Linked DNA regions of Lonchura striata. The protein of the gene in region 2 binds, or shares a complex with, the protein of the main gene of each other region. Links are inferred from orthologs where the notes say so. Each region holds a gene or a part of one and is shown on either strand. Other genes may lie near its edges. The genes, in order: ERCC3, POLR2E, TAF1A and ASDURF.

Region 1 (7,651 bases), on a different chromosome or scaffold from region 2:
CTCAGGACAGCCAAACAGAATACATCAGCTAACGTACTGAATACTTCCAAAAGCTGTAAAAATAATACCTGAGAGCTGTTACACTCAGCTGGCAGCTGTGAGACTCCAGAGCTCCTCAGAGCACTCACACACAGCTGGGCATGGGAGGGTTTCCTGCCACAAGAGCTGAAGAAGAAGCCATTTACCTGTTATGTTTCAGAACCAGCTTCACCTTCCCATAGCTGACCGTGCACAGCTACAAAGAGAGCAATCATTAGGAACATACAAAAGACAGATTCCACGTTTAGGACCAAACACTGCAAAGGTTTTAAGTCTTTGTGGGGAAGCACCTTACCACAAAACATTTACTTGTTATGCTCATAGAGCAAACCTGAAAAGGTATTTTCAGAAGATGCTCACATCATCTGATGAGGGACAACAGGCACAGATACTCAATTTTTTATATCTAACGTCAAAGTGTTTCCAAGACTGTGAGGACACACTTGCAGGATAAGGCAGGCTGTCTCACAGTGCCCCACTGTTACAGGCTGCTTCCCACATTCTGTTTTCTTTCAAAGCAAATCTGAGGAAACTTTCCCCATGTACGATTGTACTGGCTGAAATTATCTACACAGACACTTACATGTACTTTTTATAAATCCCACAAAGGCTATATTATGAAAATAGTATGTGTGCAGCAATATTATATGCAAAAAGACAGAAAAAGAATAATGCTCTCTTGAAACAATGACAGAAAAATAAAACATTTAAAATGATTATTAAAAAATAATAAATCAATTAGGCAGAGGCAGCAGGAAAGGAATTCCTTAGTAGAAAGAGATATATTTCCAATGCAATGTCAGTAAAATAGCCTTACCTTGATAAACTGAATGATTCCATCTGGGACACCAGTCTTGCTCAGTTTCTGCAAATACTCAGTGATATCACTTGTCTGCAAGCCCACACTCACAGCAGCATACAGGGAGTAAGCAGTCAGCTTGTACTCATGAATGTGGGTGGGTCTGCACACAGGCTCAGCAATAGCAACCAGAAAGTCCTGTGCATATTTGTAAACTGGAGAAAAGGCTTCCAAAAATATATGGCCATCAGGAGCCTACAGAAATAAACAAATGCTGAAGGCACAACAGTGTTAGCTGAACTGAATCTCATAATGAATTTACAAGAAAATGAATAAACATGTAACTTTTGTCTTCTGAAAATGGTCCAGGAATTGATTTGTCCATGTTCCTTCCATGGGACTATGAATAAACCACACCCAAATCAATAAAGTTTTTCCAGACTGACATGCTGGAGTATTCCTTCTTTTTTAATGCTGAAGAAATTGCTTGAGTAGAGGCAAGCTTCCAGCCCCATTTCCCTGGAACAACAAAACTCCTAGTTCATTCTATGTGGAAGGAATGAATGAATGAATGAATGAATGAATGAATGAATGAATGAATGAATGAATGAATGAATGAATGAATGAAAGGCAGCACTTGGGTGTCCCAGCCCTAGGTGCTGTACAGCACTTGGTGACAGGCACCGTTCAGACACTGGCTGGGAAACCACCTCTTCACACCATGCTGCACCACTTGCTAGACCTCGGGCAAGTTTACTGACGTCCCTTTCAAAGGGCAGAGAAAACAAATGGCACCAGTTACAGAAACTGAGGCCAGCCTGTCTTAAAGCCGTTTCACCCAACATACAAACACTGTGTCACTGCAGTGATAGATCCCTCTCGTGTCATCAGCCAGCGCGCTGTTTTACAGCCCACCCCGACAATCCGGCCGAGCTGCTGCCTGCCCTGCCCGGTCCGCAGCACGCCCGGGACAGCGGGGACCCGCCTGGAGGCTGCTGAGGCTGGAGCAACTCCCTGGGCACCGCCGTGGCTCCCGTCCGGCTGTCCCCGCACGGCCCCGAACCGCATCAAACGCCGCTCCCAGGCGCGCCCGAGGCTCTCCACCCGCCCTGCGCCCCCCCCGCAGCAGGCCCGGCCTCCCCCCGGGAGAACGGCCCCGGCCTCCCCCGGGAGAACGGCCCCGGCTTCCCCCCGGGAGAACGGCCCCGGCCTCCCCCGGGAGAACGGCCCCGGCCCCTCCCCGGGAGAACGGCCCCGGCTTCCCCCCGGGAGAACGGCCCCGGCTTCCCCCGGGAGAACGGCCCCGGCTTCCCCCCGGGAGAACGGCCCCGGCCCCTCCCCGGGAGAACGGCCCCGGCTTCCCCCCGGGAGAACGGCCCCGGCTTCCCCACGGGAGAACGGCCCCGGCTTCCCCCCGGGAGAACGGCCCCGGCCCCTCCCCGGGAGAACGGCCCCGGCTTCCCCCGGGAGAACGGCCCCGGCCCCTCCCCGGGAGAACGGCCCCGGCTTCCCCCCGGGAGAACGGCCCCGGCCCCTCCCCGGGAGAACGGCCCCGGCTTCCCCACGGGAGAACGGCCCCGGCCCGGCCCCGGCCCCTCCCCGGGAGAACGGCCCCGGCCCCTCCCCGGGAGAACGGCCCCGGCTTCCCCCCGGGAGAACGGCCCCGGCTTCCCCACGGGAGAACGGCCCCGGCCCCTCCCCGGGAGAACGGCCCCGGCTTCCCACCCGGGAGAACGGCCCCGGCCCCTCCCCGGGAGAACGGCCCCCCGGGCCGGCCGTGCCCCGCACGCACCACCCAGAGCGGCCGCGAGCTGTGGTCGGCCTTCAGGGGCATCTGCAGCCGGTAGTCCTTGGCGCCGTACTCGTCCACCTTGGTGCCGCTCTCCTCCACCTGCTTCCCCGCCGCCGACGGCACCGCCTCCTGCGGCTCCTTCCCGGCACCTTCGTCCTCATCGTCTTCGTCGTCATCGTAATGGCGCTTCTTGGACTTCTTCTTATCTGGGAGCAGAGCGGGAGCTGTGACGAGCGCCCCAGGTGCCCCCGCCCGGCCCGGCCCGCGCCGCTCCCCGGCCCCGCGCACCGCGCTCCTTCCTGCCCATGGCCGCCGCGCCGCGCCGCGCCCGCCCGCGCGTCACTTCCGCGGGGCGGCGCCGCCAGGGGAGGAGACACCACCGTCCCTCCGTTCGGGCCGCCCCCGCCGCGGGGAGGCGTGCGGGCGGGCGCGGGGCGGGGCCTCGGACACGGGGGGCAGCCACACCCCGGGGCAGAGGGAAATGAGGAAAAAGAATTTAAAATTAACAAAATAAATTGAACTTCCGGAAAGCGCACCGTAAATAACAATAAAAAAGCCAACTCGGAATTGAAATACGAGAGTGACATTGCGCAGCGTTCTGAAGTACAGAATTCTTAAAAGAGAAATCACACTGTTGTCCCTACAGAGTGTTTTAATATATTTCTAAGTACAATTCGTGTCTGATTTTGGAAATACAAATACATTTCGAATGGTTAAAAACAAAAATTAAAAAAATATTTTGAACATCAGCCAGCTGAAAATATATTTATCTAGTAAATCATCTCTCAAAGCTTTTATATATTTAATTATTCTAACTAAACATAGTACCCTTAAAAAACAAGTTCATAAAAATGTAGAAATGAAATTGTGGAATAAGATTACTGGGATATATACACACACATTCAATGCATACACAGAATTACAAGGTGGGGTTGGTTGGTTGTTTTTAAGTTTGGAAGGCTGTTAGACAGTGGAACCAGCAAGCAATGCCCAACTCCTGAGTTCCTCAACCATCAGCTAATTTTTAAATTGTTTTTATCTTTTTTTATACATAAGATATTCCATGTAAAGCAGCAACAGCAGTGCAGTTACTGGCAGCAACATCTCAAAAGTAATAAAAAACCCCATACATCCAGACAGTAGTACATTGCACACACACGTGATTCTCATACATCCATCGACAATTGGTCAGAGTATTAAATCAGTGTACAAATTAAATATTTCCAAAAATGTGCAAAAAAGTCAATGTTGATAGAAAAAAACACCTTTGTGTACATACATTACAAACAGTGCCCAGCATTCAACTGAGAGTAAAAACATTTACAGTGAGAAACTGATAGATTAAATAGAGAATTTAATGGCTACATAAAAATGTACATTAGATAAAGAGTAAATTTACAAATTTTTATTCATAGCCTCATGAAAACTAAAATCCTACGTTCCAATTAATCTAAGTCTCCTCCACATATTTACATTATACAACTCCTGTGAGGTCTGAGATGACAGACACTATGCTTTAACAAACCATTCCAATTTTAGGGTGACACCACCTTTTTTTACTGGTATTAACAAGAAACAAGCACTAGGGAACTGACAATCTAATGGCTGTTCAGAAAAGAAAATGCAATCCTTGTTTTTATATCCACATTATATAAACCTCTGGGGAAAAAAGATAATCTATTTTTGAATAAAAAGCACAAAAAAACTCTGATGTATTTCCTATGACTATCCACTCACAAGCTGGAATATCCTTTTTCTTATTTCTCAGCAGAAGACCCTGACCTCCTGACCTGTGGACTCAGCATGAGGGCTGAACTATGAGATACAATTTTTATGCCATTTAATCCAGGTCCTCTCCCTTTAAAATAAGTTTCTGACATCTAAGTCCTAGCCAAGGTGTGACTGCTCTGAAACATGAGAAATATAATTTCCTCCATCCTATTTACCTCTCAACTCCGTACACATATATATTGCTAGAGGAAACCCAAATATTGAACCAGCAAAATGGGAGCTGCAGCATCCTGGGTTCAAGTGATGGGCTCCCTGGTCTAAAGCTGGACACACACCTTACTCAGGAGCTATCATGGGCCACCACCTATGCAGGACTTAAGCTTTGCCAACTAGAAGGAAAAAGAAATGGTGCGGGCCACGTGGGGGGATATAAAATGAGAAAAGAGCTCCTTTGTTCATTATCACAGATTTTGATTCAAAAACCTTGGCTTGATAGCAAACCTGTCTGACCCCTCAGTGCACATTAGTGGCTCCTCCTGAAGGCAGCACTCACACCCAAGTAACTGTGGGTGACATCTTGCTGTCACATGAAGAGGACTGGCCGCTTCCCACACCTTTGGAACATTGTCACTATGGTGGCACAAAACAGATCAGGTCACAATTTTATCTTCATGGTGCTCCTGAAATGTCCCAAGGCTCAAACCCAGCTACAAAAGCTACCAGGTTTTAGTCATCAAGCTTATGCAGTAATTTTAGAATGACAACAGTAAGATTAAATTAGAAAGAGCTTTTAAAAAGAAGACTCTTCATTTTAATACAAGCATGAGTTTTGCATTTCAAACAGCAACTATAAACACCCACATGTCTGAAATATGGGCAGTGTCTATCACTTTTTACTAGTACCTGCTTTACTCAGTCAGCAACAGCTTACTGGTAGATACACACTATAAGAGACATGAAACATCACTTTTGGCTATATGTATATGGAATAGAAAAGCTTTGGTAATTGTATGTGATTCTACACTGCAGACTTGTCATTGCCACAAGACAGCAAATTACCAGCAAGAAGAAATTACACTGGCGGCAATACTTTTGCTTTTCCAGAAACACCATAGGGATTTACATTCAAGCACATACATTATACTTTTCTATATGTGTGACACAGTCTTTCAAGATTAAAAAAGTAAGAAATTGGTTATAAATAACTGTAGATCTGACCAATTTGCTCAAGTCTCTGAAGCTGCAGTTAGACATTGTTCTATGCTGTCCAAAAGAATGGCTTGCTGTACTGCACTGTACCTATAGGTGCTCCAAGGCTTTCAGTCAAGACAACAGCAGGATTAGGATTATCCAAAAGGCACAGGAAAGAAATCTGTTGGTTTGCTTGACAGATCATATTCCTGTGCACTGAAAGTAAACAGCTTTTAATACAGTACCACACTTACAAAAGTACCAACTTTGCTTTCAAGCCCAGTAAGAAACTCTGCTGCAGAGTCTGATACCCAGAGCCAGGAAGCCAAATTCTGACAATCCAGTTACTTAGGTGCATGCAGACAAATCATCTTTCTGGCATGTACGTTGGTGTACAATATCCAGAATGCAAATACAAAACGTGGATTAGCACAGGAAGCCAAAACTCACTTTTAAATTCTGAATTTGAATGACTGCTACAGATTATAACTCCTGCACACTTTTCAATGCAGTTAGGCAAGCTCTGCTTTGAGCACTTTGAAAAAACCCATTCTCTAAGGCAGCTTTGCTGACATGAAATTGTATGACATATTTCAATATGGTGTTCCAACATGAACAAAATTAAGGCATACAGAGAAAAAGGCACTAGCTAAAAAAACCCCAAACTTTTCATTTTATTTTACTGAAACGACTATTTAGCTACAAATTGAATTGGGAATCAAGTTAGAAGGTTTAATACTATATTTAAACTGTCAAGAAAAGAAGTCTGTAGATTTAACCATGCAATTATTACATCCATACCCTTTTGGGTTCTTCAATGGATATTTCTATCACCCAAGTAAAAAATAAGCAACTTTCACCAACACAACACAAGTCAAACCTTGAGTCATGCTCTAACAGGGTGGTTAGTTACACCATTAAAACCGTACCACAGAAGTAGCTTTTGTCACTTATTATGTGCAACAGACAGAATACTAAAAATCATTAGATAAGTAAGACTTTTGAAAATATACATACTCACCGTGAATTTGAACCCTTATTTCTTGAGAGTACAGCTTCATTGTGGCATTTACAGAAAAGCAAACCAGCCCTGCAGCAGTAGTGCTTTCACTGGCATTTTTTAATAACTGGATTCAACAATTAAGACCAATTTTTGGTCTAAAATGCTGGTGGCTTTTTAAGTGAGATACAATAAGTTGTGAGTAGGGATCTTGGCTCTGCAATCCTCCTCCAATGGAGTTTAAAGCATGAAGTTCCATGCAACCTCACAAATTCTAGAATGAGGGGTCATTCACCATCACTCCAGGAATCCCTGTAAGTGTTTAACAAACCCTGTATACAGCTTGTTTTACTACATTACCCCACTGGGGGTAATAGCCAACCTCTTCGTAAAAGTCTGATTTAGCTACATAATTATTTCTAGCTCAAATTATTTCTAGCTCAAAAAATTTATTCTAAGTTATTTAAGTCAGTAGAGAAATTCTCCTTAGGATGAAAAACTAGCTCAAGCCTAGCCTTGGTTATATTTGTAAAATTTTACTAGAATCACTCAAACTGGAAAATGTCAACTTCATTTAAGAAGTACAGTCTTTACATTGGCAGCTTTCTGACATGTCAAAGACATGATGAAAAATGTATTCTGAAAGTCACTTTCTTCCTGGCTCCAAAATGCTGACCGTTGTCATGACTGAATGCCATTGTTTTTTAGAAAAGGCACAAAAGCAGCAAACTTGATTGTTCAGTAATTAAAAATCACAACTAGGAAGTGATATTGCAATATACATGATCCAGCACTGTCTCACAGAAAGATCACATTATAAGAAAACTAGATTCTAAAAATTTTCAAGCTTCAGAGAGTGCAGTTTCTCTTTAGAATAGTATATTTAAATGTTATGAATGCTACAGATAAACCTGGTTACATTTTCCCTTTAATGTCCTTTTTTGGTAATGTTAAATTTCCTTACCTTTTCAGTAATCACTGACCACTACAGGGTTTTATATACATTTTCACCTTGGTTTTGGTACCTTCTTAGTCTGAAATCATAATTTCATTACATGATCTTGAAAATTGCCTACATAAACTATTAGGTTCTACATGA
Region 2 (7,101 bases):
GACCCCTGACACCCCGAGGTCACACACCTGCCCTGGTACCACACAAGTAGGCTCAGTTTAAGGCTACTCCGGTCCCTGAATTTTGTTTTGGGGGCCTGTCCTTACCCCCTTCCCTAGCTGGCACCAGGCTAGGCTCAATCCCTGCAGTCGGGGCCACGTTTCACCTCCTTACCTCAAAGTGATCACCAAAGATGGGGGAGCCAGCGGTGCCCCCCAAAGCCCAGCTGCTGCTCCGGGGGCTCCTGCTCTCCCCCAGCTCTGCTTCTCTTGACCCCAGCAGCCTTCCCCGGGCGCAGGCAGAGCCAGGCTTCCCCTCTCCACACCTTCCCCTATTTAAAGCACTGCTTGCTTGAGGCTGAATTCCCAGCAATGAGGGAAAAAGACGCCGGGAAAACCCAACTCAAAGAGGTTTAAACTCAGGAATAGCGAGGGGGAATTCCCTGCTGGGCACCCTCTGCTGTCACCGGAGCCTTACCTGGTGGCTTTGACCTTAACTTTAAAATATATGCAATCTTCCCTCCCTGGTCTCTGGAAAGACAGAGACCACCTTCAAGGAATCCCTTTCTTGCCCCAGTCCCGTGTTTTGTCAGGGTTAATAATATGTATTGTTACCTTTTAACTAAATTATTCTGCAGTTGTCCTACTGATTGTATTTTTAATGAGTCCCTGTTTTCTTCCCTGACACCTTTGTGTTGGCACTTTTTAATCTGCTTGTTGTTTGCCCTTGTTTCTATGTATATTTATAATTAAGTTGTACATACTGTAAAGAGATTTTTTAGAATATGTGCCTTGGACTAATAATTCCTGAATTTTCTACTTGCCTCAGAAAGATAATTTTTCATTCTGCTCAGTAAAAATGGAACAGAAGCCACATGTGAGATTTCTGTAACTCTCAGCTCTGTCTCTTGGTCTATCCACCTTGCCCCAGGAGCCCAGCTGGAGCTCGGATCAGGAATCCCTGGGCCAGCATCCTGCTGGCAGCTGGACTTTGTATTTCCCGTGTCACCAAATGGGTGACACTGGGGGCTGTTGTCCCAAGGCTCCCTCTCTCCCTGGGAGAAGCCACTGCTCATTGAGAGGAGGATCCTGTCTGGATCCGGCCTTGGATGAGGCAGCTCCCTCATGGCTTGGCTGGAAAAACACAGATAAAGGCGCCTCTGTTCCAGTGTGTTCCCCCAGCAGGAACTGCCACAGCTCTGGGATGTCTCATCCAGGCACTGCTGCTCCTGTTACCTCATGGAAGGAGGGCTGGGGTGACTCTCAGTGATCAGGATCCTCCCAGCATCCCTGATGTGCTGGGCTGGAAGCTCTGCAGGGGTGCCAGACCCTGGGATTTTTTCCTGGGGACAGACTCCCTGAGGGGGCTGTGGATGTGACAGGGAGAGGCAGCACTTGCCAGGCCCTGGGAGGAGCTGCAGCAGCAATTCCTGCACGGCAGAACCTGAGCTGTCCCTGCCCAGGATGGGACACCAGGGCTTGGCTGGGCACGGCCATGGCTTCACAATCACCAAGACGCTGCCCCGAGGAGGAGGAGGATGATCCTGCTTACTGTGGTCAGACATGTCCCTGGCTGCAGGGGATATTTTGCCGTGTCCCAACACGCCTAGATTCTATTCTGCAGGAATTTCTCCTGGGCAGGGCTTGTACCACTGCTGGACCCATCCCCTCTGCTGCCCTGTCCTACCAGGAGGATTCCTGGAGCCAGGAGAGATCTAAGGGGGAACAAATCTTCCCCAGCTCTGCCTTTGCCCAGGAGCCCCTTGGGAGCACGCAGCATGCTGGATTTACGATTTACACTCCCTCCTCTACACTGAGGATTATCCCTGCTCGGCTCAGGAGTTGCATAAGGTCTTGGCTTGCCAGCAAACTCCAGGTCATCAGCAGGAGCTGACAACTCCTGGCCAGCAAACTCCAGGTCATCAGCAGGAGCTGACAACTCCTGGCCAGCAAACTCCAGGTCAGCAGGAGCGGCGCAGCAGCCCCATCCCAGGTTGGGAACACAGCAGCTCGTTCCTAATGCCTTTATTGCAAAGGGACTCGTTACTGCCAGGGGGCTCCGGCTGCTCCTGCCCACAGCGGCCGTGGGCCCAGAGCTTCTGTCCAGCAGTTGCACGCCTCGGGTCAGGGCTGCCCCACCAGCAGCTGGATTGGAGGCAGCCCGTCATGGGGCTGGAGGAGGCTCCGTGGGCAGCAGGGTCGGGGCGGGCAGGGGGACAGCGGAGCAGAGCTACAGGTAGGCAGGCAGGTCCTTCTCGATCACCTGCGGGGAAGAGGGGAACGTTGTACCCCCAGAACATCCCCGGCCTTTCCCTCCTCCCCAGCAGCTGCACTTACATAGGGATCTTCCATGGGGCTGTACCTCTTCACCACTTGACCTTCCCGGTTAATGAGGAACTGTAGGAATGAAGCAACCCCTGGTGAGCGAGTCCAGGGAGCTGATGGGGGTGTGGCAGCTGTAGCCCCCACAGATTCACTTCCCCCCTCAGCTGTGCTCTGGGCAGGGCAGGGGTTCCCAAGGGTCTCTAGACACAGGAACCCCTGAGGATACTCCTGCCCTGACACCTGGAGTACCAGCACAGAGCAGAGCCCAGCGTGAGGCTCCCTCCTACATCAGGGACCCCCCTCAGATCCTCAGAGGAGGCAACCAAAACTACAAGCGTCCTACCTTGGTGAAGTTCCATTTTATTGCACTAAGAGAGAAAGAAACAGGAGTGAGTTTTGGGCAGAAAAGCCCTTCCTTGTGCCCAGCCAGGCCCTGAGCCAAGCCCTCCCTGCTGGCTGCAGGTCCCCAGGGCTGTACTTCCCACACTCACTTGCCCAGAGTGCCTCGCCCTTTGGGCTGCTCCTTCATCCACTTCCAGAGGGGGTGAGCATCATCCCCGTTGACATCGATCTTGCTGTACATGTCGAACTTCACCCCGTAGTTCTCAGCAAATGCCTTGATCTGAGCGTTGTCCCCGGGCTCCTGAGGGGCCGCACCAGGACCGTGAGGCTCCCCGAGCCATCCCAAAGCTCCCAAGGAACCCGAGCCCCCCGTACCTGCTTCCCAAACTGGTTGCAAGGAAAGCCCAGGATGCGTAAACCCCTCTCAGCGTATCGGGCGTGCAAGTCGACAAGCTGAGTGTAGTTTACGGCGGTTTTGCCTCACTTGGAGGCTACGTTGGTGATGATACACACGTCTCCCCTGCAGAGGAGGGGGATGAGCTGCCCTTCCCCGCAGGGCACAGGTCCCTCACCCTCTCAGGAGAGGCGTGCGGGTTACGCAAGAGCCGCTGTGGCTCAACCTCGCCCGGCGCGGCCCCGGCCCCTCCGTCCTACCGATATTTTTCCAAGGACACGTCGTTGCCGTCGATGTCGAGGGCGTGAAAGTCGTAGATAGCCTTGGCCGAGCGCCAGTCATCCGCCTGGGCACACTGCGGGGCGGGCGCGTCACTGCGGAGCTCCGCGCCGGCCCCGCCACCGCCGCTGCCCCCGGGGGACCCTCGGAGCCGAGCCGCGGTCCCGGAACGGGCCGAGCCCCCGCCGCCCGCCCGGGCGGCCCGCGGGAGAGACCCGGGGCCAGCCGCGGTCCCCGGGCGGACCAGCCCCGCTCCCCGGGCGGGCAGAGCCTCGGTACCCGGGCCCGGCCGCTCCCCCGGGCCCGGCCGCTCCCCCGGGCCCCCGCACTCACCATGCTCCGCACCGGTCCCGGTCCCAGCCCTGGTCCCAGCGCCGCTCCCGCCGCCGCCGCCGCCCGCGCGCAGCACAGCACGCCCCGCACCGCGCTGGCCCAGCCCATCCCTCACAAACCCCGCCCCTTTCGGGCATATCAGCCAATCGGCACGCATAGAGGCGGCCTCGGCGGGATGATGGATGGAAAGCTGACCAATAGGAGGGCAGGGCGGGCGGGGTGGCCGCAGGGGTGTTGATCGGGACAGACCACGAGGGCGGGGGGCAAGGACGGAGCAAAGGGCGGGGTGTGGAGCAGGTGCCGCGGCTGCCGGGCGGCGATTCCCTCCCGACCCGGCCGCGGGTTCCGAACAGAGCCGCAGCCACCCAGAGACCCACGCTGAGAGCAGCAGAGAGATTTCTGTTCCCTCCGGAGCCAGCGGAGGGGGGCAGCTGGCGGTGGACTACATCTCCCAGGAGGCGCCGCGGCTGAGGCCCCCCGCGCGCGCGGGGGTAGGCGGCAGCGCGGGCAGCCCGCGGGGGCCTCGGCGGGCAAGATGGACGACGAGGAGGAGACGTACCGGCTGTGGAAGATCCGCAAGACCATCATGCAGGTCCGGGAACGGCGGCGCCGGGAGGGCCCAGCCTGGCGGTGGGGAGTTCCGGCGGCGCTCTGGGGCCGCAGGGTGGAGGTGTGGGACGCGGAGGCCGGTTCGCAGTGCCGGTTCTCGGTTGCTGAGGCCGGCGCTGCTCCCGCAGCTCTGCCACGACCGCGGGTACCTGGTGACCCAGGACGAGCTGGATCAGACGCTGGAGGAGTTCAAGGCGCAGTTCGGCGACAAACCCAGCGAGGGACGTCCCCGTCGCACCGACCTGACCGTGCTGGTGGCTCACAACGATGATCCCACCGACCAGATGTTCGTGTTCTTCCCCGGTGAGCAGCGCCCGCCCGGGCGGGTCCGGTGAGCCCGGGCCTGGCTGAGCCCGCAGGGGAGATTCAGAGCACAGGGGTGACCCGGGTCTGGCTGAGCCCTCAGGGGACATTCAGAGCACAGGGGTGACCCGGGTCTGGCTGAGCCCCCAGGGGAGATTCGGAGCACAGGGGTGACCCGGGTCTGGCTGAGCCCTCAGGGGAGATTCGGAGCACAGGGGTGACCCGGGTCTGGCTGAGCCCTCCTGCCGCGGACTCTTGGTGACCCCGGCTCTGGCTCTTTCCTCAGAGGAGCCCAAGGTGGGCATCAAGACCATCAAGATGTACTGCCAGCGCATGCAGGAGGAGAACATCACCCGGGCACTGATCGTGGTGCAGCAGGGAATGACCCCCTCGGCCAAGCAGGTCTGTGGGGACAGCACCGTGTCCCACTCAGCAGCTGGGAAGGTTTTCCTTGTCTGTTCCTTAGCCTTGCTGCGGGTAAATGAAAGCCCTGAATTGGCCTCCAGAGAAAAGCTTTTGCTGGAACCCGTTGTACTGAGCACAGGTTCTTTTTTAGCACCCAACTGTGTTTATCCAGAGCAGCTGGTCCTGGTGGCAGTGGCACAGCTGAGGGCCCACGGGCAGTCAGGAGGTGGGGGAGGGAAAAAGAGATGTTTCCCTGTTCCAGGAGCTCAGGGGCTTACCCAGGAGCAGCTCTGAGCACTGCCAGAGCCACCTCTGAAAAGTCTTTTTACTGCCAGGGCTGCCCCAGCCACCTCTAAAAGGGCTTTTTCCTTCCAGTCCCTGGTTGACATGGCTCCCAAATACATCCTGGAGCAGTTCCTGCAGCAGGAGCTTCTCATCAACATCACGGAGCACGAGGTGAGCGGTGGGAGGATGGTCCCTCCCTCGTGCTGGCTGCGTTCCTGCTGCTCCCAGACTCCTCCTCCTGCTCCCTGGCTGGGCTGAGGGACACACTTGTCCTTTTCCCCCTCCCAAACACTTGCTGCCTCACCTCACTCAGTCTCTCTGGTGTTTGCAGCTGGTGCCAGAGCACGTGGTTATGACAAAGGAGGAGGTAACGGAGCTGCTGGCCCGATAGTATCCTTTGAGTGTCCCCTTGCTGTCCCTCCATCCTGTGATGAAATTCGGGCTGAAAACCCCTCCTCCTGCCACGGTTCATTTCTGGTTTGTGAGCTGCCAGCAGTCCAGAGCTTCTCCTTGACTCCCAGCACAGCAAGCTGAGGGAGAACCAGCTGCCCAGGATCCAGGCTGGGGACCCCGTGGCCCGGTACTTCGGGATAAAGCGTGGCCAGGTGAGAGGAGCAGGCTGAGGCAGCAGCTTCCTGTGGTGGGACAGGGAGGGGATGATCCTGGAGGGCATTTTGGAGCAGAACAAGTGTCTCCTTCTCCTCCTCCTCCTGTTGTGAGCTCCGTGTCTGCCTTGCAGGTAGTGAAGATCATCAGGCCCAGCGAGACGGCGGGCAGGTACATCACCTACAGACTGGTGCAGTGACACAGTGGGTAAGGATGAGGGGACCCTCAGCTCAGGGGGGCTTTGGGCAGTGCCAGGGATTGTTCCAAGGTCAGTGTGAAGCAGCTGCTTCCAGGGAAATGTCTCAGAGTTTTAAATGGCTCACGGAGGGAGCTGTTGGGGAGAGCAGGGCAAGGCTCCCCTGCCACCTGTGCCTCTGCTCAGGCTGTGCCCGTTGGGATTTGGGGTGTTCAGAGGGACCTGGGGCAGGAGGTGATTCCCATCCCTCCTTCTCTTCCAGGTGTGAGGAGCTGGGTGGCTCCCAGCAGCAGTTCATGGACGCTCGGAGATTCCTGAATTTAGGGAATGCCAAGGAAATCAAATCCTCTTCCCTCTCTGCAGCCCCGTCACTGGGCCTCATTCCACATCTTGGACTTCGTGGTGACCCTTCAGTCCCATCCAGGACTCAGCCATGGGAGGAAATGAGTGGGAAGGGCTTTTCCTTCCCTGTTTTATGGGCTTTTGTTTGAAATAAAGGTTTGTACCCTCAGTGCCGCAGCGTTGCTCAGCCTCTCCCTGTGGCAAAGCCTCGAGACTCTGCAAGTTCCCATCATTTTCATTGCGTTTGGAATCTCTTCCTGCCAGGATTCTGCATCGTGGCTGGGCTCTGCAGAGCCTTTAGGAGCTGCCCTGGGCAGTTTGGAAGCTGCAGTTCAGACTCATCCTCATTCCTTCCCTGATCTCCTGCCCTGTCCCCTGGTTTGGGACCCCGGTGTTCACACGCTGCCATGGAGAGTTGCTCATCACCCCCAGCTGCACTCATTTGAATCCCAGGAGCCTGGGGGGCTTTAAACTTCACTTGTTGTGGCAGAAACACTTGGATTTGGCCTCTTGTGGCAGGGGGAGCCTGGAAGAGCCTGATCCTCAGGACAAACACGGGTCAGAACACGCTGGTTTTATTGTTTTTTTGGGAAGTTTATCAATGTGAACACAGCAAGGCAGCATTGTGCAGCAGCACAAGCCTGTCAGGACAAACATGGAATCGACACAACCACGAGGGAGCTGC
Region 3 (7,528 bases), on a different chromosome or scaffold from region 2:
CTTCTAAGGACTGAGAACATACATCTGTGATCAAACATACAGACAAATGAGATAAGGTTAGGTATAAAATGACCTTTGAATATCATGGAATTGGTAATTCAAATGTTGGGTTTGAGTTTTTTTGACACTGATGTCAGTAGTACATTTCAAAAGAGATTTGGAAATTAATATTCAAGTGTTCAAGTAAAAGTGAAAAATCATCAGGGCTGCTTTAAGTACACTCACCTTCAAGTACCTTTTTACTCCTAAAGTTTTCATCTGTTCCATGAAACAGCTGAACTCTTTCACACTGCTCTGGGAATGATGCCACAAAATTTCAGTTCCTATTCTCCAAATCATCTATTAATGGGGAGAAAGAATATCAAAACCAGCCTTAGTACAAAAATGGCAACAGATATCACATATACAGTCTTACTAAACTTACAGTTACTGTAGGACATGCAAAATGTACATTTGAACTGCAAATAAAATATACTACAAAGCATTATCTACTGCTGTAGTAACCTACCTACTCATCCAGTAGGACTTTTAGAGTCATTCAGTGGGTGGTTCAGAATTGCTCATTCTAAATGCAGCACTGTAGGAGAGCTTAAGAAAACTGCATGCCTGAGGGTTCCTCCTTCCCTCACTGAAAAATTATGTTCTTCTGTGATATGACCCCACTAAAACACCAAGTATACACAACTCTTTGAACTTAAGAGCAAAGATTATTTCCAGTGTAGCTCCCCAATTACACGCTTTTGTTTCCAAGGTCTGCAAGCTAGCCATACTCAAGTATTCCATTTATTTAAAAGCTCTGATGCTTTTCCTTCCACCTGATTCTATCTCAACACCTGCAAGGAGTTTTGCAGCTACTGGAAGAGCTGGTAACAACCTAAATAAGCCACCAACTTGCAAACAGATTCCGACTGATGACATGCCAGAACCAAACACATTTACTGCTTTCCTATTTTAGAGAGCTACTTTGACTTTTCATAGCCACACTGCTGATGGAGTGAACTTATAACAAGCCAAATCTTTTTCTGTTGTGTCAAGGATCTATAAAAAAAAAACAAGCCTATGATTAGCTAATTAAGACAGCTGTTGGTCCTGAAGTATATGGATGCTGCTTTGCAAGTATTTTTTCAACTGCAAAAGAACTCAGATCAGGAACATGGGCTCACCTCTGATGCACCAATGCGCTCTCTGGAATAGTCCTTCTCTAGTGACTCAACATAGCAGGTCAGAAACTCTGCAGCCCTCTTCCACTGTTTTTGGAGCAAGGCATCCTGAATGTAACTTAAACACGCTTCCTTGCTCTTCTTGAAGTTCAACTTGTGTTCATTGGAAGACACTAAATAAACAAGAAAAAAAAAAAACCAACCAAAAAAAAAAAAAAATCAACAGAGCCCACAGCAATCACAGCCCTTATTCAGACAGCCACATGCTCTCCATTTCAGCATCTTTCTTGCATGGATACTACATAGAGAGTCATCTTAAGTTATACTGTTTTGAAGATAAACACATCTGTTAATCCACAGGGGAGCAGGACTATGGGACAAGCTGGAAACATGATATGGAATGGCATTTTCCATAAGCAGTACATAGCTGTGCTTGAAATTCCCATTCATTTGAAACAGTGAATAGCCACTTATGTCACACTACTGCCCTACCAGAATCAGGGAGCCATGGTGCTTTGGTAACTTCACAGTACATTTTGTCATATTTTGGGGACTACTTTCTTCACTTATTAATCACCACCTAAATTGGTGATGCCATGGTGCTGCAGATTTGCATGCACACAAACAAACAGACCATTCCAGTACCAAAGGCTAAACATTTCCCACAAAGTTATATGCAGAGAATTATTCTCATTTTAGTACAAGGCTGCAAAGAGGCCCCTTGGCCTTTTTACATCACTAGTAGTCCAATTTATACTGAAACCAGCATGAAACTGAAACTTCATTCCCATGAAGTGTGTTTAAAGCTCACGGCTGTATGACCCTACAACAATGCTCATCCTCATCCATGAAAAGCCACCTGCAAGGCACATGGAGAGCTCATAAAGACACTCCTACCAGGATGCTGTAGGCAGGTGAATAACTCAAACAATGGCTAAGTCAGGTAATCACAGAACCATCAGGGTTAGAAGGGATTTCTGGAGATTATCCAGTCTAACCACCTGCCAAGGCAGAGTCATCTGGAGCAGGTGACACAGGAAGGTGTCCAGGTGTGATCTGAAAAAGTCTCCAGAGAAGGAGACTCCACAAACTCCCTGGGCAGTTATTACAGTGCTCTGCCACCATCAATGTAAAGATCTCCCTTATGATGAGGTGAAAATTCTTGTGCTTTAGTTTATGGCCACAGCACCGTGTCCTGCTGCTGGGCACCACTGAAAAGTGTGGCATTATCCCCTTAGCACCTGCCTTTAAGATATTTATATGCACTAATGAATTCCCCTCTCAGTCTTCTCCAGACTAAAGAGGCCCAGCTCCCTCAGTCTCTCCTCATAAGAGATGCTCCAGACCCCAAATCATCCTTGGTGTCCTCCAATGGACTCTGTCGAGGAGCTCCACGTTTCTCCTGCACTGAGGAGCGGGCACAGCACTCCAGATGTGCCTCAGCGGGGCTGAGCAGAGGGGCAGGATCCCCTCCCTCCACCATGGGCCCTCCTGCCCTCACAAAATAACCACTGCGAAGAGGTTATTTCGAACCTCCTTCCCGGCCCTAGCAGACGACTTGGCGGAGAGAAGCTAAAACCACTCCCAGGGCGGCAGGAAGGCGCTCACGAAGGGAACGCACAAACGCTCCGCCCTTACCCGGCGGTGGCGGCAGGAAGGGCAGGTGCAGGGACGCGTGCAGGGCCGCCTGAGCGGCGGGAGTCCTCCTCCTCTTCCTCCTTCTCTTCCCGTCCACCACCACCGCCTCCGCATCCTCCTCCAGGAAGCTGTCCATGGCGGCGCGGGCAGCCGGGCTCGCACCGCCCCGTGCGGGGCTCGGCCGGGGCCGGGAGATCGCGCCCGGCAGCGCGGCGCGGGAGCGGCCCCTGCGCATGCGCCAGCCCGTGAGGGGCGGGACGGGCGGCGCATGCGCGGCGTTTCCCGCTTCCCCCGGCCCGTGGCGCCGTGAGGGCTGCGGGACCGGGGTGGAGCGCGGGGTGGCAGAGGGGTGTTTATTTCTATATCTGCCGCAATCAGCGTGAAAAGCCGTGGCTAATGCGCTGGTTGCTCCAAAAATTAAATTAGCGAGCTCCTCCTGTTACTCTTTCCTACTTTCCCGTTCCTTTGTAAGTCATAACGTTCTACGGAAGGAAAATATTCCGAATCAATATCCTGTGCACTGTAAAGCAATGATACTGCCTGTGCTCCTGCTGGATTTTGGGAGTCCGGCTGCCTTAGCCGCAGCATCTGGTTTATACAAATCTGTGCTGGAACTTGTTTCTTTTAGCCACTTTGGAACTGAGTTTGCCTTGGACTGTTTTGATGTGTATAAAGTCCAGTTTACTGCATAAGAGTACTCACAGAGTTGTTGTTTTTTTTTTTGTTTTTCTTTTTCCTAAACTGCCCTGGCATGGGAGAGTGAGTAAATAATAAACTGGCTCAGATTAAAGGTTCATGTGATGCAGTGTTTTGGTTCAGCTGTGATCAATAACCAGTGTTGGGAACAGCGCAAGGCAGAACAGTTGTGTTGTGTGCAGCATTTAAACACTTAAACCTCAATATCATACCTTAATATGGTATTTAATAAATAAACTTTGGGAAAACAGAAATTTCTCTTTGCTTTTTCTTTATTTTTAATCCTGTGTTCTTCCAATAAAGGCCAGCATTTCAGTTCATAAGTATTGTTAATGGATAATTAACTTACCTGATTGACAATAATAAAATGTTACTTAACACCACATGTTTATCAGTGCCATTTTTTTTTTTACTGTTCTTTATAATTTGTACCTTGTGTCAGTGCCTCACTGATCACTGGTGTTGCCCAAGTTTGATGCCATTTCCTACAACACCCCTGATCTTCTGTTAGCTCAGTATTCTAATTTCAGAATCCAACTTATCCCCATTTTTTGGTAAAAGTTCTCATGTTTGCATGCAAGAACATTTACTTTTGGCTTGTTATTTTTATTTGCCTGTGTTATACATATGTGTTTCCTGATCCTTAGGTAAACTTAGCCAACTGATCTTGTTAATGGGTATCAGCTACTTTAGTAGATATTTTAGTGCAGAAGAGGTAGGAGAACTGCTTTTTAAGAGTAGGTGAATGTTAGATACCTCATGTACAGTGGCGGAATACATGTTTCCAAGATTGGTCCAAGGATCCTAGATCCAAGATTGATGTTGAAGACTGGAAGGAAATTTTGCTTGAAATATCTTAATTGAACTAAGTGAAATATTTTTCTTTTCTTTCACACATTGAGGAAAGCTACGTATGTTAATAAGTGGTTACCTTATTACCCTGAAATACTTGATATTGTAGGAAATACTTGACAGTTGCAATGGTAAACTTGTATATATGTATCAACTGCAAGCTGCTCATTATTGTATAATAAAGGCAGTGACTTATACAAGAAGTATGTGATTTTGTTTTTCTTCACATCTCCCTCTTGCCCTTGTCTTTGCAACCACAGACACAATTACCTTTTTTTATCTTTAATAAAGATAAGTTTGATAAATTGTATTGATGGGAAATAACAGCTCTTTCTTCACAAGAAATTGGACCTAATACTCTGGGCATTATACAACATGAAATATTAATGTTGAGGAAAGAATGCTTATCTTTCACTCATACAATTATCGTATAATGTGACTTGAATGAATTTACTTCCATATTGTAAATTGTGACAAACGTCTAGATTTTCTAAGTTAGGCTTTCTTAGAGCTTTTAATCAGCCAATATCAGTGATGTCAAATAGGGATCACCTCATTTTTTAAGATGTGAAGCACAGAAACGTCAACAAAATTGCAGGAGAGCTATAACCACTATACTGCACTAGGCCTGGAGAGCAGACATGAGCACTGGGTGAATGAACCATTGCATTTGTGTAGCCTGTGGGTCCTGGGGATACACAGGACTGTAAGAAATGCCAGGGTGTCCATGGGATGCTGGGCAAAGAGGTATCAACACTTGACACTTTTTCGTTTTGTGATTAAAATATTAAGCTATTCTAGATGGGGACTGAAAATGAAACACATATTTTTCAGAGATTACACAGTAGTAACTAAACTTGGATCTAAGGCCTTGTACAATGAGACTGTGGAAATGAGAGTCTGGAGTGAAAATCAATAGGCATGAGGATGCAAGAGGAGCACATGCAATCAGCAACCGCGATTGCTAAGTCTTTAGATGTAGCATTTAAAAGAGCTCCTAAAAAGCTCTTGGAAAAAACCCTCAGCTGTTCTGAAAATCACAAAAAAAACAAAAAAAAAACCAAACAAAAAAAACCAAACAAACAAAAAACAAAACAAAACAAAACAAAACAAAACAAAACAAAAAAAAAAAAAAAAAAAAAAACCACAAAAAAATAACACTAAACTTTGACTATCAGTTCTGATTACCAATTCATTCATTTTGGGAGCAGCTTCAGAATTTGCTCTGGAAAGTAGAAAAAAATAGAAAAAATGTGGTCATTTGATTGACCAGCAAGAGTATTCTCTTATGTCACCTGTTCTTTCTTACCTGCATCTTTTTTTCTCTTTGTCTACTCAGGCTCTTGTGCTGAACAAATAACACAGGTGTTGAAAAGAGAAGTTTGGTTCATCTGCATTGTGACTTCTGCTGTCATTTTGCCATTTTAGATCTCTAAGGCAATATTAAGGTGCTGGATGTGAAGAAAAGGCGACGGTAAGTAGTGTGAGTAGCACATCTTTCGGCTTGCAAACACTCAACACTTAAAATGTACCAGCAAGTGGAAGCTGCAGCTACAGAAGGGCAAGGATAGGAATGCTGCGCTTTCGGCTGCCCGCTGTGAAACCCGGCACTTTCCCCAGTGGGATCGCGGCTGAATGAACTCCTCCGCCCGCTGCACCGCAGGTGTAACCTCAAACTCTCGGAGGTCACCGGCAAAGTGGCGGCTGCTCCTCTCCAGCAGAGATAAGAACTGCTCGGCGGGGCAGGAGGGAGAGCAGCCAAGTGCTTGCTCGGATCTGTCGCGTCCTTACAGGGCGGCAGCTACACCCTTTCTGTTCTTGTTACTCCAGCGATCCTCAGTTGGAGAAACCCGCACAAATAAGGGGCGGGACCTTCCTTCTTTTCTGGCCTGCGAGGAGGGAAAAGTGGCCGGAGTTAGGGGTCCTGCCTCCTCAGGACCGGGATGGGGATCAGGGAGGGAGGGTCCGTGCGCTGCCCTCCTCCCGCGGCAGCGGCGGCGGGGCCGGGCTGGTCCCTCCCCCGCCACATCGCCCTCCCGCCGGCGCTGCTGACGTGTCTGCTCCCTCCTTCCCGGCCCGGCTCCCTCCCTCCGCGGCGCTCGCCGCCATGGCCGCAGCCGCGCCGCCGGAGCCCCGGCTGCTGCTCGCCCTGCCGCTGCTGCTGCTGCTGCTGCCGCCGCCGGGCCCGCGCTGCGCCGCCGCCGCGCCCGACCTGGGCCGCCGCTTCGCCGAGCGCAAGCGCTGCGCCGACCTCGAGTGCAGCAGTGAGTGGGGGCGGCGGGCGCGGCCCCGGCGAGGGAGCTGTGCGCGAAGATGCCTCCCGGAGGCTCTTCCCTGAGCCCCCTCCTTGCGCCGGCTCTGTCGCGGAAATTGGGGACAATCGAGGAAACGGGAACGCGACGCCCACGCGCGCCGTCCCTCTCTGCTCGGCCAAGTTTTCAGATCCCCGCGGCTCCGTGTTTGGTTTCCCCCACCCCCCTCCACGCAGAGCTCTCCGTTGATAAAACCGCTCTCTGGGTGTTCTCTGGGATAATTTCAGGACCAGTTCGCTGGGACACAGATGTCACCTTTCTGATTTAACATTAGTAATTAGCTTCATAGCTCACCCCTGAAGTGTAGCTCTCCAGTGCTTTGTCAAACCCTTGTCTTGCCTAGAATGCTTGCTTTACTTTTTCTGCTAAAACTTGCCTTTTTTTTTAGCTATAACTTGGCTTGTTTGTTTTTGTTAATTATAGCTAAAAAATTATTAGTTATACTTCCAATTTATCTATATTTTTATTAATTTATTAATTTCTTAGTTATACTTTCAATTTACTTTGTTATCTCTTGACCCAATCTGGAAAATAGCAAAACGATGCATGCGAGGAGGTCTTGTTTACTGCCAGTTAGCAAAGACACTTTTCATGTAAATTATTTTTAAAGTCATACTCTTCTCCGTGTTTTCTTTGGACAGTGTTAATGTGCCGAGGGAAGGCCATGCGGGATTTTAAAGGTCCGGATTGTCGCTTTGTAAATTTTAAGAAGGGAGAAGCGGTGTATGTATATTATAAACTAATAGGAGAATCCACTGAGCTTTGGGCTGGAAGTGTAAGTACTGTAAAGCATTTCTTCTGTTTGCTTTTCTTGGTAATGTGTTTTCATTCCTTTTGCCTTGTAAGAGAATGCTTGGAGTTTTGAACATG
Region 4 (8,010 bases), on a different chromosome or scaffold from region 2:
CACCTTTCAAATCAGCTACAAATAAGCTTTTAAACATTAACTATTTGAGATACTTGAACACTGCAAACTTACTTTTGCACTGAGACAGCATTTCTGTCCGGTCTGCAAGGAAGAATATGTTGCTATTGGGTTGCTGTTTATAAACTTTCTGTAAAACAAAACCCACACTGTATTAAGTCAAAGCAGCAGATTCTGGAACCACACTGCAGCAGAAGCTGCTGTGGGTCCAAAGAGACACTCCTGGTATAAAAGTGAAGGTGTAAGTTCTGCCCTGTGAACACCAGCATTCTAATGCTGTACTATCAAAAGCATTTAATGCTCAGCCTAAGACAATTTTGAATTTCTCTTTTCCTCATCCACAAGGGATCACATTCTATTTTAAACAAAAGCATAGAAAAAGTAAGAATACCTCATGAATCCATGTAATAAACTCAAAAATTTTAATGAAATAACTCAAAACATAAAAAAGCCCCAAGTATACATGATCAAATAATTTGCAGGACAAATTATTCTGAGCACAGCAGACCACATGTTTATTAAAATCCAGATTACAACAAATTAAAGACAGCATGCTCTGATTTTGTTGTCCTTCTTGTCTTTATGTTTTAATTTCTCTGCTGAAATTAAATAGTTAAAAGCAAATTTGTAAATCCTTACCCGGTTCTTCTTCAAATTAGAAAGCTCATCAACTACAACCTTCTGCTCTTTAATCTGAAAGCCAAAAGATGCATTTGATTTTAATGATAAAGACAAGACATCATATCACAATCCCAGTGGTGAGCATGTCTACTGATATTTTAAGACAGCAACATGCATGTATAGCTGCTGTTCTCCACATGAATCAATGAAGACAAAGTAAGTATAAAAATTACATACTTAATTTCTCTAGAAACAGGCTATGTTGCATATATTGGTATTTCTCCTCCCCTCAAAAGCCTCTGGGAAGCCAGAGTAGCTACAGCTATTTATAATCAGAGAGCACATTTTCCCCCCCTCGGAAGAGAACATGTACACAACTAATAAAACATCAAATAACTTTTAAAAATTAGCATAATATCAAGAATACACTTCATAATGATAGGTATGCTCCAGATTCAAAAGGAAATTAATGAAAATACAAACACTCTAGAACTGTATTAGGAGCAATGGGAGCCTTTTTATTGCTCTAGATTTCTATATTAACTTCCTTAGTGGGATTTACCACTCTGTTCTGCACTGACAGATGTGGCAGATATTCCCATTTTCTTTTACAATGGCAGCTGTGAACTAAAGAGTTCACAGCTAAAGAGTAATCAGAAGAAGTTGCAAATGCCAAAAATTGAAACAAAATCTGTTCAGAGGGCACAATGCTTTTTGTTAGAAGCAAACATGGGTTTCTCTGCTCTTCCTTTGTGTCTCCTGGAACTGGTACAACAGTAGCAAGCTGCCACGGAGTGAGGTCAGCCAAACTGTATGGCACACTGAAAGTTACAACTTTTCCAGCAGCTACATCAATCTCTGGTATCTACAACACCAACAAGGCAAAGCAGCAGAGCCATCCTCTGCCAGACTAAACCAGCCACTTAGGCACAACAGAAGTGAAAACCTGTAGCTCTTTGATGTCCCAGCTTTGTAGCTTCCAAGCAACTAAAAGCATCACTGTCTATACATGGCCACACAGAAGTAATTTATTTTAATATAATCACATAATATTAAGGGGTTGCAAAGGACTTTAAAGATCATCTAGACCCAACCTGCTTCCTGCCATGGGTACATCCCACTAGACCTGGCTGCTCCAGGCCTTATCCACCCTGGCCTTGAACACTTCCAGGGTTGGGGCATCCACAGCTTCTCGGGGCAAAATGTGTAAGTGCCTCACCATTCTCACAGCAAAAAATTTCTGCCGAGTATCTAACCCAAAGTTGCCCTCTTTCAATTTGTACACATTACTCCTTGTCTTACCACTACAGTTCCTGACAAAAAGCCCCTTCTCTGGCTTCCCTGTAGTCTCTATTGGAATACAGGTAAATTGATATGAGGTTTTTTTGGAGTGAAAGTTCCACAGGGCTTGGCAGATTGCATACTGAACAAAGCTGTGGGGACAAGGAAGGAAGGAACAGATAAATTAGGAGCATCTGCCTCTATGGCTGAAATATCTTCAGACATTTTGGGCAGATAATGATGAACAAGGATAAAGATGAAGCCATTTGAGAAGCGGGTGAGGATACTTGATTTGTCCAGCTTGGAGGAGACTAAGGGGAGAGCTCACAGCAGTCTACAAGTTCCTTAGGTGGGGAAGTGCAGAGGAAGACACTGGTCTCTTCTCACTGGTAACCAGTGACAGTACCACAGAGAACGGCCTGGAGCAGGGTCAGGGATGTTTAGACTGGATACAAGGAAAAGATTCTTCACCCAGAGGGTGATTAGGCATTGAACTCCCCAGGGAAAGTGGTCTCAGCACCAGCATGACAGAGTTCAAACAGCCTTTGGATAACGTGCTCAGGCCCTCGGTGTGATTCTTGGGGTGTTCTCCGCAGCGCCAGAGTTAGTTAGACTCGACCACTAGACGTCTCTTGAAACTCATGATATTCTGTGAAAAAACCCTCAGTGCGCCTCACTTGCCATTTCAAGCTCAATTTGGAGCAGTAAGATCCAAAATACCAATCCGACGAGCGAGCTATTAGCGAGGCAACGCGGGCTCGCTAAATGCAGGCCGCTCTCGGGGCCTGAGCAACCCCGGGCACAGGAGCCCCGGTCCCAGACGGCACCCTCCCTCCTCTTCCTCACGCTGCTCGCACCCGAGGCAGCAGGCTCCAGGAGCCCCCGCGCCTCGGCCCGGACCCCGGCACCGGGCCCCGCGGGGCCGCCTCCCCTCACCCGCCGGCTCAGTTCCTCCTTGTGGCGCAGCGCCGCGCTCTCCCCATCCTCCTGCCGCGCCGGGCGGCCCGACATGGCCCCGACCGCGCCGACAGCCGCACTGCCCACGCAGCCTGCGCAGCTGCCGCCCCGGGGCGCGCGCGCGCACAGCGCCACCAATCAGCAGGCGCGGCAGAGCACGCGCCTGACGGAACACCAATCAGCAGGCGCGGCAGAGCGCGCGCCTGACGGGACACCAATCAGCAGGCGCGGCAGAGCACGCGCCTGACGGGACACCAATCAGCAGGCGCGGCAGAGCACGCGCGGGGCGCGGGCCGGCCGGCGCGAGTGCTGAGGGAGCTCGCGCCCCCGGCCGGGCGGAGCCGGGAGTGCGGCGGCCGCGCCGTGCCGCGCCGTGCCGCGCCGTGCCGCGCCGTGCCGCGCCGTGCCGTGCCGTGCCCACGGAGCTCCTGGGAGCCGGTCCGGGAGGGCATCGGCACAGGCCCAAGGTGGAGAAGACGCTTGGAATGAGGCTTGGCAGCTGTGCTCCTTGTGCAGCGTGTCGGCTTGGTGTGGTGTGAACCCGGGCTACTGTCGGCAGCGGGCTCTCAAACCCCTTTAAGCGGTTTGCTTAAAGGTATTCCAGAAGAGATATGAATTTACACTATTTACAGACATTAGGATCGTATGTTTCATTATGTTCATTATTAGCATATGTTTCTACAAGAAAGAGAAGGACTTTTTAGAGGGTCATGTAGTGACAGGACAAGGGGGAATGGACTAAAACTGGCAGAGGGCAGATTTAGGTTAGATACTGGATGGATGGAAATTGCTTACACGGGGGATGTGAGACACACAGTTGCCCAGAGAACCTGTGGCAGCTCCATCCTTGCAAGTGTTCAAGGCCAGGTTGCACAGGACTCTGAGACACCTGGTCTAGTCCCTGCCCATTGCAGGGGATTGAAATGAGATAATCTTTGAAGTCCTTTCCAACCCAAAGCATTCCAGGATTCTATGACTTTATTATTATACAAGATGGATGTTTAAGACCGTCCACCTAAGGTGATCTTAACGTTTCTTTGTCTCTTCCATTCTGCTATAGATATGTCACAGTGATGCATATGTCTACGTGTCTTAATAAATACATCATTGTCTCATTTTAATACCTTTCCTTCTTTTTAAACATTGTATATTATTCTAAACACTCAAGAGTAATCCAAACTTACAGACTGCTACCGATTGCTCAGTTATAGGATTTTATGAGATTTCTATCCCACTTGTGGTCCTTGTGGTACTGACTGCAGTGCAAATATAGTTCAAATTTTCATGAACCATTTGAAATATTTGCAACTGTAGTAAGAGAGTGTTGCCTTTATTTTCTTTAATCTCACATAATCATATATATTATATATTTTGGTAACTTAGAGTTTGTGAGCAAGATTGCACCTTGGTTGTATCCATGAGCTTGGTTGGAATGTCTGTAATGTTGATCAAAATTTTTGGAAGCCGTATAGGAAGAACAAGGATTTTGGCTCCTAGCAGAAGGATGAAGAAAGACAATTTGGCTATAGGAATATTTGTCAATATACTAACTTGCAAAAGTTGTGCTTATTTGCTTTTAACAGAAAGAGAAACTGAGGTTACACTTGTCTGAAAGGTCATTCCTGCTCTTCCCCCCACCTCTGAGCACACACTTGTGCCTCCAGCCCTGCCTCACCACGGCTGGGTGTGGGGCTGTGTGAGGGACAGGTGAGGGACCTGATCTGTTTTTCTCAGCAGTGCACAGTGCTCTGTGATTCCAGCAGTCCCAAAGCAGAGCAGCTGAAGCTGCTGGGGAGTTGTTACCCAGGGGGTGGAATGGTTCTGGGGCTTGTCCTTTGACTTCTATAAGAAATTCACATATCTGGGTCACATAGATCAGTTTTGGTGCTATTGCTCAGTGTGCTTTGTAGTTTGTCACTGGTTGTTCTAGTGAGTAATGTGTTTAATCTGAGTTACTCCCAACCCTCTGCTGCCCAAGTTTTATTTGTTGTTCATGTGTTACAAAGGTTGATGATCAAGTAACACAGTAGTCAAAGTGTAATTTCTGCACTGATTATCCTTTTTATGTTCAGTAATAAATGCTGTTAATGTTTATTAATCAAAACCTGATCACTCAGTGTTATTGACTGTTTCAGAAGAGTGATGATAATGGTTTTGAGGCATAATAGCAAATGTGGAATGGTTTTAATGATTCTTCTACTGATATGGAGTGGGCTTTTGACAGTTCCTTTTAAAATGAATGAATTCATGTCACAAGATCACTCCTGAAATTACAGTCAAACCCACTATAAGACCCGCTGTGTTTGCAAGTCAGCAAAGGGAAATGTTGGCACCTTTGCACTCCCTGCGCAGAGCAGTATTTTCTCCATTCAAGTTTGTTTCAGGGCTGCTGCAGTTCTGGTGTTGCAATGTGCCTGCACTGTTACTCCTGAGAGCTGGGGAGGGCACTTAGAGCTCATCTGGCTGACAGCTAAGCAGGAAATGTCATTCAGTGATACATCTCTGGTCATTCTGCTTGTGTCTGTGCACTTGTGCCAACTTCGGTGCTCTAAACTATTTTTCTTTTACTAGCATAAAACTGTTTCTGGAGGTTAACAATGCCCGATACAATGTTAATAAAGTATCAAATAATATTTCAGTCTTTTAAAGCCCTCACCTTTCAGTATCTGGCATCTTTAAAAATATTTTTTAAATAACAGAAATTACCCAACAAGTCATTTAAACAGCTAAAAACCAGAAGTAGTTACTGATGCCAGAAAATCTCTGAAGTTGCAGTGACCTGTTAGCAAATGCATGGCCAAAACAGTAACCTTTAAATAACCAAGCTCAAGCTCCAAAAGGCTGCTGCTAAAACCATGCTGAAGAGGTGAGGCCATCCTTGTGATAACACTGTCAAGTCTTGAAGACCTCTGTTCATGATGTTGACAGTATATTTGTGTCAGAGGATTTTCCAGCTGTGAGGCACAGGGTAGGACTGATACTGCCTTGGAGGCTTAGCAGCCTCAAAGTTTCCCTGGTTTTTGCTGTGGGCTGGAAATCCTCATGCACTCAATTCTGTATCTCTCAGCTGATGCTTGGGAACATGTTAAGCCACCATAATCAATTGTGGGTTCAACTCTGAGTGGTTTATGAGGTTCACCTGTAAGTGATTGTACTCTGAGGAAACTTGTCATGCTTTAGAAGAACCAGTCACAGAGGTGCTTGGAGGGGAATAGGATAATTGTAGCTCTAATGTTGGCCACAAGAGAGCAAGCTGAAGCTGTGCTGGCTGCTCAGACAGTCAAGAGTGGGGCCAGCCATGTAAGACAGGTGGATGAAGTCTCTTAGGAGGAGAGAGCAGCACAGTCAGAGGATATTGCTTTTATATAGGTTTTTTTCTGTTTTGGAGCATCCTCAGTTCTGACACTAGCTTATTTTGTATTCAGATACTGTATCACCATAATCCAAATAAGTAGATTCTGATTTGTAACATCAAGCTGTGTTAATTTCACAGTTGAACCTGTATTTTAATAATTTGCTAATTTATACCAGTCTAAGAAAACGAAAATAGTTGAAAATAGTTGGGTTTGCTTTATGGTAAACCTTTTGCTAATTCTTCTGAGACATCAGGATTTGAAGGAAGTTAGGTTAACTTACACACCCGGTTATCTGGAATCTAGGCAAAGTTGTAGTTTGTTTCCTTAGGTTAAGTACCTAGATTGTCAATGACACAAGGAACCTTGCAAAACCTATAATCATTCTACTTTAAAAGTCCTGTCACCACAAATAAAAGAAGAAGTCTGAGCACTTTTACGGTGTTGAAGTCAGTTTTTTTAGCACTTAACTTCTGATACACTGTCAAAGCAATCTTAGAACTCATTTGCACAAAAAATCTATGTAGTTCACAAGTATTAAATTATTCATTTTATGATTAGAAGCAGAATTTCATCACTTTCACATGGAAGATTTTAAGGCTGTTGTCAAAGTAGCTGAGAACTATCATCAGTCTCTCATTAGTTTTTGACAATCTGATTGCATCTCTCAAAGCTTCTGAAAGTACTGAACCAAACAACTTATTTGTAAAATACTCCCAGCAGTCTTTCATCTGTGATTTAAGTATGAGTGGATTTAAAAATAGACGTTTCCAAGTTCACTCTGTTCTACAGTATAAAACTGAAGTAGCTCTAATGAGAGCCTTTCTCAAGGTCTTATGTTGCTGTAGCTGAGAAGACAGTTTGACGTTTAATTTTCATAATTTTTCCTTCCTTAGTGCAGAACAATTTGTTGTGCACTTTGTTAGACTTTAAGAGAGTTAAGTTCATGTTAGTGCTAGTTTCACTTAGAAATGCAGAACTATGAGATTTGGGGTTGTCTGTTGCAGGGCAGTCCCTCACGTACTCTGAATAACCAATGCACAGGTTTGCTGCAGTAACTACTTTGAATATGGGATCAGAGTTCCAGATACACATTTTGAGCAGTGGAATGTTCAGGGACCTTAAAAAAATCAAATGCTGTGTCTTACAAAACAAATATTTTGTTTGCAGTATGAAGATGGAAGCCTGGTGCCTGGATGCTGGAAGCTCTTCTGCTGGTGCCACCAAAGAGCAGGCATATGAGAGGCTTGGAACTGCTCAGGAACTTTGGATAAACAGATGCCTCATTTGTCTTGCATTGAGCATCTTGATATGAAATCAGATTAGTGCTAATATTTCTGCCTAATGAGAAAAGATAACTGCAGCAAAAACCCTCTGAGTGAAGAGTCAAGAAGTCACTCAAGTGAAGACTTACTGCCCAGTAAGTGAAGTTGAGCAAGGAAGTCAGGAGAAGACTGGAGTGATAATTATGGGCTTGCTTCTCTTTCCTGTTGGGAGTGCCCCCATGAGAGTAAGTACTGTGTTTAATACTACATACAACTGATATTTTCTGGAAGATAAAACCCAGAGATTAGATTATTTTAGAGGAGTAAGCAGGCCTGAGCAGGATGGGCTGAAGGTATGGAAGAGGCAGCTTGCTTTTGCTCCCATGATATGGGTCTCCTGGAATGAGGGACTTGGTAATTTTGGCTGAGATAGGTTACAGCCTCATAAAGCACGTTCCATAGGCACACAACAGATAGCTGAGTGAGAGCTTGGGCAGAACAGAACATGTCTGAGC

The links.
Region 1: POLR2E (region 2) and ERCC3 share a complex: the UniProt entries of both Homo sapiens proteins name them as parts of the TBP-based Pol II pre-initiation complex. The link is inferred for Lonchura striata from reciprocal best matches to the Homo sapiens genes POLR2E and ERCC3.
Region 3: POLR2E (region 2) and TAF1A share a complex: the UniProt entries of both Homo sapiens proteins name them as parts of the pol I pre-initiation complex. The link is inferred for Lonchura striata from reciprocal best matches to the Homo sapiens genes POLR2E and TAF1A.
Region 4: POLR2E (region 2) and ASDURF share a complex: the UniProt entries of both Homo sapiens proteins name them as parts of the PAQosome complex. The link is inferred for Lonchura striata from reciprocal best matches to the Homo sapiens genes POLR2E and ASDURF.

The regions. Positions count from the first base shown.
Region 1 is NC_134610.1:14,403,505-14,411,155, forward strand, and holds the start of ERCC3 (general transcription and DNA repair factor IIH helicase/translocase subunit XPB), read right to left. Parts: upstream 3,011-7,651; 5' UTR 2,938-3,010; coding exon 2,919-2,937; intron 2,837-2,918; coding exon 2,631-2,836; intron 1,094-2,630; coding exon 857-1,093; intron 236-856; coding exon 186-235; intron 1-185. UniProt on the Homo sapiens protein: ATP-dependent 3'-5' DNA helicase/translocase. Binds dsDNA rather than ssDNA, unzipping it in a translocase rather than classical helicase activity. Component of the general transcription and DNA repair factor IIH (TFIIH) core complex.
Region 2 is NC_134630.1:6,510,660-6,517,760, forward strand, and holds POLR2E (DNA-directed RNA polymerases I, II, and III subunit RPABC1), read left to right. Parts: upstream 1-4,135; 5' UTR 4,136-4,205; coding exon 4,206-4,262; intron 4,263-4,407; coding exon 4,408-4,582; intron 4,583-4,868; coding exon 4,869-4,984; intron 4,985-5,362; coding exon 5,363-5,443; intron 5,444-5,603; coding exon 5,604-5,662; intron 5,663-5,798; coding exon 5,799-5,877; intron 5,878-6,011; coding exon 6,012-6,077; 3' UTR 6,078-6,085; intron 6,086-6,336; exon of another isoform or gene 6,337-6,437; 3' UTR 6,438-6,585; downstream 6,586-7,101. UniProt on the Homo sapiens protein: DNA-dependent RNA polymerase catalyzes the transcription of DNA into RNA using the four ribonucleoside triphosphates as substrates.
Region 3 is NC_134605.1:7,871,118-7,878,645, reverse strand, and holds the start of TAF1A (TATA box-binding protein-associated factor RNA polymerase I subunit A), read right to left. Parts: upstream 3,008-7,528; 5' UTR 2,935-3,007; coding exon 2,799-2,934; intron 1,334-2,798; coding exon 1,164-1,333; intron 340-1,163; coding exon 226-339; intron 1-225. Other genes in the region: MIA3 (transport and Golgi organization protein 1 homolog), read left to right, coding at 6,454-6,610, 7,300-7,433. UniProt on the Homo sapiens protein: Component of the transcription factor SL1/TIF-IB complex, which is involved in the assembly of the PIC (pre-initiation complex) during RNA polymerase I-dependent transcription.
Region 4 is NC_134610.1:30,857,966-30,865,975, forward strand, and holds the start of ASDURF (ASDURF protein), read right to left. Parts: upstream 3,006-8,010; 5' UTR 2,932-3,005; coding exon 2,857-2,931; intron 712-2,856; coding exon 658-711; intron 149-657; coding exon 73-148; intron 1-72.